Linked DNA regions of Arabidopsis thaliana. The protein of the gene in region 2 interacts with the protein of the main gene of each other region in a pairwise test. Each region holds a gene or a part of one and is shown on either strand. Other genes may lie near its edges. The genes, in order: AT1G74370, AT3G52070 and AT5G07475.

The links.
Region 1: the proteins of AT3G52070 (region 2) and AT1G74370 interact in a protein complementation assay, tested with the Arabidopsis thaliana proteins (one large-scale study listed by BioGRID).
Region 3: the proteins of AT3G52070 (region 2) and AT5G07475 interact in a protein complementation assay, tested with the Arabidopsis thaliana proteins (one large-scale study listed by BioGRID).

What each region holds. Positions count from the first base shown.
Region 1 is NC_003070.9:27,957,423-27,960,940, forward strand, and holds AT1G74370 (RING/U-box superfamily protein), read right to left. Parts: upstream 1,979-3,518; 5' UTR 1,765-1,978; intron 1,609-1,764; 5' UTR 1,564-1,608; coding exon 778-1,563; 3' UTR 664-777; downstream 1-663. Other genes in the region: AT1G74360 (Leucine-rich repeat protein kinase family protein), read left to right, coding at 1-489; XXT5 (xyloglucan xylosyltransferase 5), read left to right, coding at 2,426-3,518; AT1G74385 (uncharacterized protein), read right to left, coding at 3,303-3,518.
Region 2 is NC_003074.8:19,311,051-19,313,775, forward strand, and holds AT3G52070 (RNA/RNP complex-1-interacting phosphatase), read left to right. Parts: upstream 1-1,667; 5' UTR 1,668-1,702; coding exon 1,703-2,047; 3' UTR 2,048-2,174; downstream 2,175-2,725. Other genes in the region: AT3G52060 (core-2/I-branching beta-1,6-N-acetylglucosaminyltransferase family protein), read right to left, coding at 1-977; AT3G52075 (uncharacterized protein), read right to left, coding at 2,197-2,370.
Region 3 is NC_003076.8:2,364,043-2,367,256, forward strand, and holds AT5G07475 (Cupredoxin superfamily protein), read right to left. Parts: upstream 1,564-3,214; 5' UTR 1,495-1,563; coding exon 1,317-1,494; intron 1,186-1,316; coding exon 785-1,185; 3' UTR 664-784; downstream 1-663. Other genes in the region: PMSR3 (peptidemethionine sulfoxide reductase 3), read right to left, coding at 1-244; KUOX1 (KAR-UP oxidoreductase 1), read left to right, coding at 3,125-3,214.

The DNA.
Region 1 (3,518 bases), on a different chromosome or scaffold from region 2:
AGTAACGTTCTTTTGGATAAACACGGGAATGCGAGAGTGACGGATTTTGGACTAGCAAGACTCTTAAATGTAGGAGATAGCCATGTGAGCACAGTGATTGCAGGCACAATCGGGTATGTAGCTCCCGAGTATGGACAAACTTGGCAAGCCACCACAAGAGGAGATGTTTACAGCTACGGAGTATTGACCATGGAACTCGCGACGGGTAGAAGAGCTGTTGATGGAGGAGAAGAGTGTTTGGTCGAATGGGCAAGACGTGTAATGACAGGTAACATGACAGCCAAAGGTTCACCAATAACCCTGTCAGGGACCAAACCAGGGAACGGAGCTGAGCAAATGACTGAGCTACTAAAGATTGGTGTGAAGTGTACAGCTGATCATCCTCAGGCAAGACCAAACATGAAAGAAGTTCTAGCTATGTTGGTTAAGATATCCGGTAAAGCAGAGCTCTTCAATGGCTTATCTTCACAAGGTTACATAGAAATGTAAAAATCTTTCTTTCTTTTCTTCTTTCAGATTTATTATACAGAACAACAGAGTTTTCTTCTTCACCATTTTTCGTTTCATTGTTTCTGATTCTTCTTGTACACAGAACCTCATTGTTATCAGACAGATAGGGATAGAGAAAGGTAGTTTTGTTCGCAATGTACAGAGACACAATCTGAAAATAAAGATCTTCTCTTCTTCTTGTCTATATTGAGTGTAAACAACGTTGGCTCTATCTCGTGTTTCTTACAAGTCAGGAAACATACAGGAAGAAAGAAACAGTACAATGAGTCAGGTTGCAATCTCTCTGATCAGCCAGTTTAAGCTCGGGAAGGCAAAATAAAGGACGAGAAACGACGGGACAGCCAAAGCAAACGTAACAAAGAAATAAACCCCGAGAACTGCAGCACTCACAGGGATTGCATATAAAGCCATCAACAGGAATATGACTACCAGAGGAAACTTAGCCAACAAATGAGCAACAAGAGCCATTGACTTACGTACCGAGTCATGGAGCCTCCCAGTTCTGAAGAATCCTCTGGTCACACCATTCCACCAGCTGCGATTGTCCAGCAACCCTTCATCACCCAAGGCGGTATTACTCACTCCATCACACCTATTTCTCAAGTCTCTCTGCCCTGAAGCAACCCTTTTGTTGTCGCTGGGTGCCTCCGATCTGGAGCCATTCATGCTTTCTACCATCCACAGAAGGTAAAAGTTCTTGGAAGGAAATCTGATGGTTCCATTGCAAACCAGCCTTAAAGAGAGAATATTGCACCAAGGGCAAGCAACGAAGAAGGGAAGCTGGAATGGTAAAGCAGAGGATTTGATGACAATGGCACGTTGAAGCCCTAAGAGACAGTACTTGCAGATTGTATGACCACACCATAAGACATAAGGTACATTCTCAACAACGTTGAATGATTCCCAGCAAATGGGACACTCCAATTTTTCTTCCTTTGTTGTCTTTCTTCCATCTCCTGATCTATCTAAAGTAGCTCTTCTTGGTTTTGTAGCAGCTTCTTCTCCCTTCGATATAAAACCTTCTCTGATCGATTTTGAAGCTAAATTCCACATAGCAATGGAGGGATCCACAAAGATAATCACTTTGAATCTTTCTCTCTGCAACAAGAAAATCACACACACATACACTACATAATCAGATATGAGATTTACAATCCAACCCCCAAAGATTGGACCGAGAACATACAAAAAGTAACGAACTTGATGAAACCCAAGAAATCATTAACAGAATTACAGAAAACGAAATACACTTACAAGAGTTTATCCGGTCATGAAGATGAAGATCATTGCAAAAACAAAAAATGCAACAGCTACGTCGTTGAGTTATATAATATCTCCGAAGCTCTGATGTAACCAGCGAGAAGAAAACCGGCTGAAAAAGAGACACGCGTCGTAAAACATGGTGACTCTGAAACGCCTTTCAATGTTTCCGCCGCCCCCACCGATTTCCTCACCTTATCCGTTTCTGTTTTCAGGTTTAACTACCAAAACGCATCGTTTCACTATACCGCCAAAATTAAACTACCGGTTTAGTTCCGTAATTTTCTATTACCGAAATCGGTTAAAGTAAAATAGTAGTTGTCGGTGAGAGTGAGCTGTACGCGTTTCTTCTTCTCCTTGTGCGCTTTCTGGATCGAACGAAGCATTTTCCTCCGACAATATATTTTTAAGTAATGACAATGTTTCCGCATTATTGGGTTTAATTCCATTTTTAAATTAGGGTTCTTCAGATCGACAAATCTTTCTCTTTCTCTTTCCCCGATCGGAATCATGCTAAAGATCTGAACTTTTTCTCAGATCCGTGAATAAGTAAGTACGGAGAGACAGAAACATACTCAGACTGATCTGAGGAAAACAAAGTTGATGGTCGCAAACCTGTAAGTGAAATCTATAGAGAGAGACGTTGAAGAAGAAAATGGGTCAAGATGGTTCGCCGGCGCATAAAAGACCATCCGGAAGCGGCGGAGGACTTCCGACGACGACGTTAACCAACGGTGGAGGAAGAGGTGGTCGTGGTGGTTTGTTACCTCGAGGTAGACAGATGCAGAAGACGTTTAACAACATCAAGATCACAATTCTCTGTGGTTTCGTCACAATTCTCGTCTTACGTGGCACTATCGGTGTTGGTAACCTAGGAAGCTCAAGCGCCGATGCAGTTAACCAGAACATCATTGAGGAGACTAACCGGATTCTAGCTGAGATCCGATCTGATTCGGATCCAACCGACTTGGATGAGCCTCAGGAAGGTGATATGAATCCCAATGCGACGTATGTTCTAGGTCCTAAGATCACGGATTGGGATAGTCAACGTAAGGTATGGTTGAATCAGAATCCTGAGTTTCCTAGTACTGTCAATGGCAAAGCTCGAATCTTGCTTTTAACAGGATCTCCTCCTAAGCCTTGTGATAACCCCATTGGTGATCATTATCTTTTGAAATCTGTGAAGAACAAGATTGATTATTGTAGGCTTCATGGAATTGAGATTGTGTATAACATGGCTCATTTGGATAAGGAACTCGCTGGCTATTGGGCAAAATTACCAATGATTAGGAGGTTGATGTTGTCTCATCCAGAAGTTGAGTGGATCTGGTGGATGGATAGTGATGCTTTGTTCACTGATATACTGTTTCAGATCCCTTTGGCTAGGTATCAGAAGCATAATCTAGTGATTCATGGTTATCCGGACTTGTTGTTCGATCAGAAGTCGTGGATTGCTTTGAACACAGGTAGTTTTCTGCTGAGGAATTGTCAGTGGTCGTTGGATTTGTTAGATGCTTGGGCGCCTATGGGACCTAAAGGGCCAATTCGTGATGAGGCCGGGAAGGTATTGACGGCTTATCTGAAAGGTAGACCAGCTTTTGAGGCAGATGATCAGTCAGCATTGATCTATCTCCTGCTTTCTCAGAAAGATACATGGATGGAGAAAGTGTTTGTGGAGAATCAATACTATTTGCACGGGTTTTGGGAAGGTTTGGTTGATAGGTATGAGGAGATGATAGAGAAGTATC
Region 2 (2,725 bases):
TTTCTGGCGAAGAAATAGTCTAAACTCGAATTAGATCTCCGCAGAGAGTGAATCAGCTGCGGCGAGATCTCAGAGGCATCGTACGTGTGAGGATGACCACCAACACTACCGGTCCAATTAACACGTGTGAGTGTAAAGTGACTACATCCTTGAGGATCCTCAAGAGACAACAAAGTCGGAAAATAATGTTCTTCAGGGTAACAAGATTCAACATCAAGGCATGGTAATTTGAATTTCCTCCATAGCTTTCTCTCTTTGATCACCATTAGAGCATGACGTTTCGCTAATACGAAGAACTGAGATCCAACACGGAAGTCTTGGTACTGGATCTCAGGAAGCATCGCGTCGTCTCCTCTTGCGTTGTATCGTTTCAGAAGGAACGGTTCATCGGAGAGGATCTCGATGAAGCTTTGTTGATGATGATCGGAGAAGAGGTGGTTGTGGATGTAAGAGAAGGAATGGAGAGGGATACAGTGTTGTGAGATTAAAGCGAAATAGAGATTGTTAGGATCGTCGAGGATTGCGTTTGCTAGTAATCGTCGTTCGGCGGAGATTAACGTCGGAGAAGCTCGTGCGGTTCTTCTCGCCGGGATGAACTTAGCGTTGATTGATGAAGAATCGAGAAGAGGAGAGACGGAGGAGGTTGGATCTGCGTGGATGTAAACGTTGTAGAGATCTTGGTGACCTTGGAAGAAGCTTTCCCAGAGAGGTAAGAAGGTTAGATCGGAGTTTGTTAGGAAGAGGAAAGCGATCTTTGGGGGTGGATTTGGAGAGAGGGAGATGAGACGACGGTTGTTGTTGGTGGAGGAAGAGACGACGGCGCGGTGGAAGAGAGAGAGGTCGTCTAGGTCATCGGCGGTGGAAATGAGGGTAGAGGAAGAGAGAAGGATGTGTGGTGAGAGGATGAAGAGGAAGAAGAGAAGAGAAAGAGAGAGGAAGAGAGATAGAGAATAAACGAGTGTAGAAGATGAGAACATCTCTCTGTATACAACAACACAGAATTTCTCTGAGGAAGAAGAAGAAGAAGAAGAAGAAGATTGATTGAAATGAATGAGTTAGAAAAAATTCTGATGTGACAATAAAAAGGAAAAAGGGGAATAATGACGTCAGCAAAATGGGGACACGTGAAATTATTTTTAAAATTATTTGGGACAATCGACACAGTTGCTCTATCGCTATTTGTTTACGTGGGGCTGTTCTCTCTCTATTTATATAATAATGAGATACGGTTTTTTCAGCAACCAGATTTTAAAGTTATCTGATTAAATCTAATAATAGGATAGAGATAGAGTCACAGAGACATGTTGTTGACTTTATGACATTATTTTATTCTTTGCTTATCCACTCAGTCATCATTTATCTCACCAGTCAGACATAATGTGTTGTTGTTGTGAATTTGTAGATGCTTCCGACTATACCTGATTACCTGGCCATTCAGAATCGGTTTGGATCAAAAAATTTGGGTTTTCGGTTTAGAAATCGAAACAAACCGAATTAGTTGAAACGAACCGAATAGAAATTCGGCCAATTTGGTTTTGCATTGGCGTGTACCTTGTGACTACATGTGTGTGTGTTAGATGAGATCTATCCACCCATTTTTCAAATCATTTTTGTCGTTAAGCTATCAAGATTCTGATATTTTCCTGCTCACTTTTGATTCCCAAAACAAAAAACTTTCTTCAATTATTCTATTCATCTTCTCATGGCGGCTCTCTCCACCACCTTCTACTACCACCCACTCTGCACTAACCACCGTACAAAGAGACAAGCCTCAAGCAGACACGGAGTTAGATCTATGAGAGTGATGTCTTGTCGGAAGCAGAAATTACCAGAAGAGAATGAAGGAGTGATCCAGAGAACATTGAGAAGGATGATTTCAGAGGCTGGGAAGATTGGGAAGAATCTGAAGCCAGAGAAGAAGAAAGGAGACGTCAAGGACCTGATGCTTATGAGTCTCTCTTTTGCTGTTTATGTTTATATCTCTCAACTATTGGTTTGTGCTTACTTCTCCTGGCAACATCTCAGCTTCCCCAAATCTTCATGGTAGTAGCTAAGCTAGCTCCTCCTTGTAAATTCTGCACAAATCAGTAATAAGATAAGAAATTCAATTCCGACATAGGAGAATTGAGAGTTGTGATCTTTCACTTTGGTCTTATATAATTGAATTGTTAAGCTTCTCATACCTCTTTATCTGCTTTAACTCCGGCAGAAAAGGCAAACCAACCATTGCGATAACACTATCAACCAGTTAAGGCTCTTTGTTTTAGAGCCGAAAGGAGATGCAAGAGCCTCGGGCAGAGTCGCTGAGTATGCCTTGAAAACCAAAACTTTGACCGTAATTGTTAGAAAGAAAGAGAGATTCCTAACCATTTCGTATTGGCCTCCTCCAATTTATCCTCCTTAAACAGAGAGCCCCATCCATTTTCCTTCTGTGTGCTGCACCAAACCTTTCCTCCATAGTCATATCACTGCGAGCTTTTCCCTGTACAATCCAACCTCTAAGTCAGCTATAAGCAAAGAGCTTGGGATAAAAGCTTGGTTGTGGAGTGTTCAGGTAAGGAAACAAGAATCAGCAAATGATCTTAAAGAAAAAACGTTCCTCCTTTGTTTCATCAAATCCAACAACTTCAGCGTCATCTAACAATTCCGCTATAGATGGAACATTGGGAAAAAGAAGAGTTTCCATCTCTCCTATATGCTAAATTCCCAGCAAACATGCAAGAGC
Region 3 (3,214 bases), on a different chromosome or scaffold from region 2:
TACCAGAACAAACATCTCCGTATGAAGGATTGTCTACGGTCCCTTGGGTGTATCCAGCCTCGGTCTGAGTCACCCCTGGGACTCTCTGAAACGCCAGCTCGACACCCCAGAAACATCCAGCTCCGAATTGGGCAAACTGATTCCCCGGCGCCGGTGTGTCATCGTCATTTCCCTGAGCGATCGGAGAAGGATCCATATTGGTTTGCCCACTTGATCCCAAACCCAATCTGTTGAGTATGTTCATTGAGAAATTTCTAAAGAGAGATATGAACAGAGGAGAGGAGAGAGATGCTGCGAAACTCAAGACGTGTCTTCCGGTAACTAGCGTTTGCGTTTTGGTAGCGATCACGATTAGATAGTGATAACCACAACTTTTAATCGCAGTGAATCATCTGTGATATAGATACGGTCAAACGGTGAATTTACTACACCGAACCAGATAAAATTACCTAAAATATAAACCGATATCGGTTATTTTTTGAATTTTCCGCTATCGAATCGAACAAATACAAATTCAATGTAGTCAAAGAATCTAATTCCTTTTTTTTTATTATACATTGATTGATTAATAACTTTAAGCATAACGTTGTTTACATGTCATTTTTGTAAGAAATTTGCTGAGCAAACAAAACGAAATTTGTATAACGAACCAAAAATTTAGGTTTTAATTTGGTCATGAACTCAAACAAAAATAAAGAAATTCAACAAATAAATACTCTCACTCATTATAGGGCAAATATGAATACACATATACATGAAAACACTTATTATAGATAGTTTTTAATCAGCAAAACCATATGAATGGAAAAGCAAAAACCATAAAATATACAAAAATTCCCATGGTACCCCTCCAACCGCTGTCGCCAACAAAACGGGCGGCTGAGCTAGCGACTCCGGTCGCAGGGTTATTCTTTTTAGAAGATGGTTGAAGAATCCCTGAAGTGGCGGCTTGGGGAGATCCCACGGGAGCCTGAGATGGGCCATTGCCTTCAACATTGACTAGTAACCTCATACCGGCGAAGCAATGGAGCCTATTACCGCATACAAAGAACCGGTTTCCCGGTTTGGAAAGAGCAACGGTCGTGTTCCCGTTTGTGAACGTCCGGATCGCATCTGTTGTGTTGCAATTTTGGTAGTTGTCTTTAGCCACTTCGTATACACTATGCGTCGATGAGTATTGGAACACTTGCAAAAACATTATACACATAATTAATTAGACTAATTAGTTCATTAAGGGAAACTGTAAATTAATTTGAGTTTTTAATTATGTAGTATATATATAGTTGGATGAAGCCAACATGATCAAAGATACTTACTTAGAACATCACCAGGAGAGAATCGCTTGCCTGAAGTCCAAGACTCGAGATCGGAGCTTATGTCCCAACCGGAGCTGTCTCCTACAAAGTATGTCGTTGCGTTACATCTTCTTATTACTACAACCCCAAATATGATGCAGAGATTGAAAAGAAATTGTATCTTCGACGTCTTCTTCATAGTGCACGCTGTTTGTATTTTCTCAATAAATTGCGTTTAATTTTCTTGTATTGCTATAGTTGTCTATATGCATATGTGTGAATGGAATTATGGAAATATATATGTTTTTATATAAGGCATAGGTTAAGGTTGCTCATTGGTGGATAACCTAACTTCACAACCACCACAACATATATGATCTGCTTTGTTCCCTATAGCCTTTTTTTTGTTCTTAACAAATTTTTCGTGTTTCACAATTCATATGATTCATATGCTGTTAGTTAAAGTCCACAACCCTAAAATGGTTAAATCTTGATGGAGATATTGAAGCAGTAATTCATATTTATTTTTTGTTCTTGATTGCACAACATACAAATATAGGGAAGATTTTAATGGCCAGTAAATAATGCTTGTATTTATATATGATCTTGTGGAATGGTGATATTAGTTGTTATGTACTTTTCCTTTTCTCGAAAATACTTGCAGAGGGCTTGGAATTGGCATTGAAGGGGTGTTGAACCATAACTCCTCGACTAATCCTGAGTGTTTCTCTTTACCAAACCTACCTAATAATATGCGTCCAGAGAATTTCCCTTGTAACACTTTTTATAGTTGTTGGAGCATCAGAACTAGAACATGTATGATCGAAAAATTATACTAGATATATGGTTTAGCCTTTTGGGATAAAAAGTTAAAATATAGTCGAATTTTTAAAACATGTACAAGAAAACAATTCTTTTTGTCCTAAAATATAATTTCTAGGATGAACATTTTGTTTGCAACTTTTATTTACGTATTACGTATTTATAAATTAACTAATATACCCAACGAAAAATAGTACTAATACTGTATATCACTAGAAGCTAGGTAGTTGTATTTCGATGAAAAATCGATGTAATATTATTTCTTAATTGCTAGTTGTGTTAAATTATGATTGAAAATTCTCATTTTAATGTCAGTGACAATGTGACATCAGACATTTTTTTGTCTTTCCCAAAGGAAGATAAATGCCCATTGCATGAAGGAACCCGGCGCAATACATTTTACCTAGACCTTACGCATGACCGTATATAACAATTTCATTATTATTTTTACAGAATTGTTACAACTCAAACGACATATATATCGAATTTATCTGTACATGCATTCACATATGTGTCCAACATATTTATGAAGGCTTGAAATCCGGACAAGAGGATGCTTTTTTGCGGAAAGCTTCTTTTTGTTTTTTAGTAGTTGGGACTATGAATGAGATCGAAGTCTCCATTTAAAAATTAAATCCATGTTAGTGTTCCTACTTCCTACTATATCCCAACATCTTATTAATATCCCTCGTCATATATGAATTTGGACATTCTTATACATTTCGTACAACATATGGATGTTCATTATATTATCATTTTGATAATAAAGTTTAGTTTCTTATTGGTACACGATAAACAATTGACAGTTACACATGCTCTAGATATTCCAAAAAGGAAGAATAATAATTTAGTATTCGACCGTCATATTTTAATATATAACTCCGAAATATCAATAAACGACTACAAGCCTACAAACCTTATATATAGAGGAGCCACTCACACTTTCATTTTAGTTATCCCTTCACAATATTAACCGATTTCTCAACACTCAAATTCAAATACCAATAATGGAGAAAGGTGAGGATTCAAGCACATTCAAAATGGGGAATTCTGCACAAGAGAGGAGTTTACCGTATGTACCTGACTGTTACGTCGTC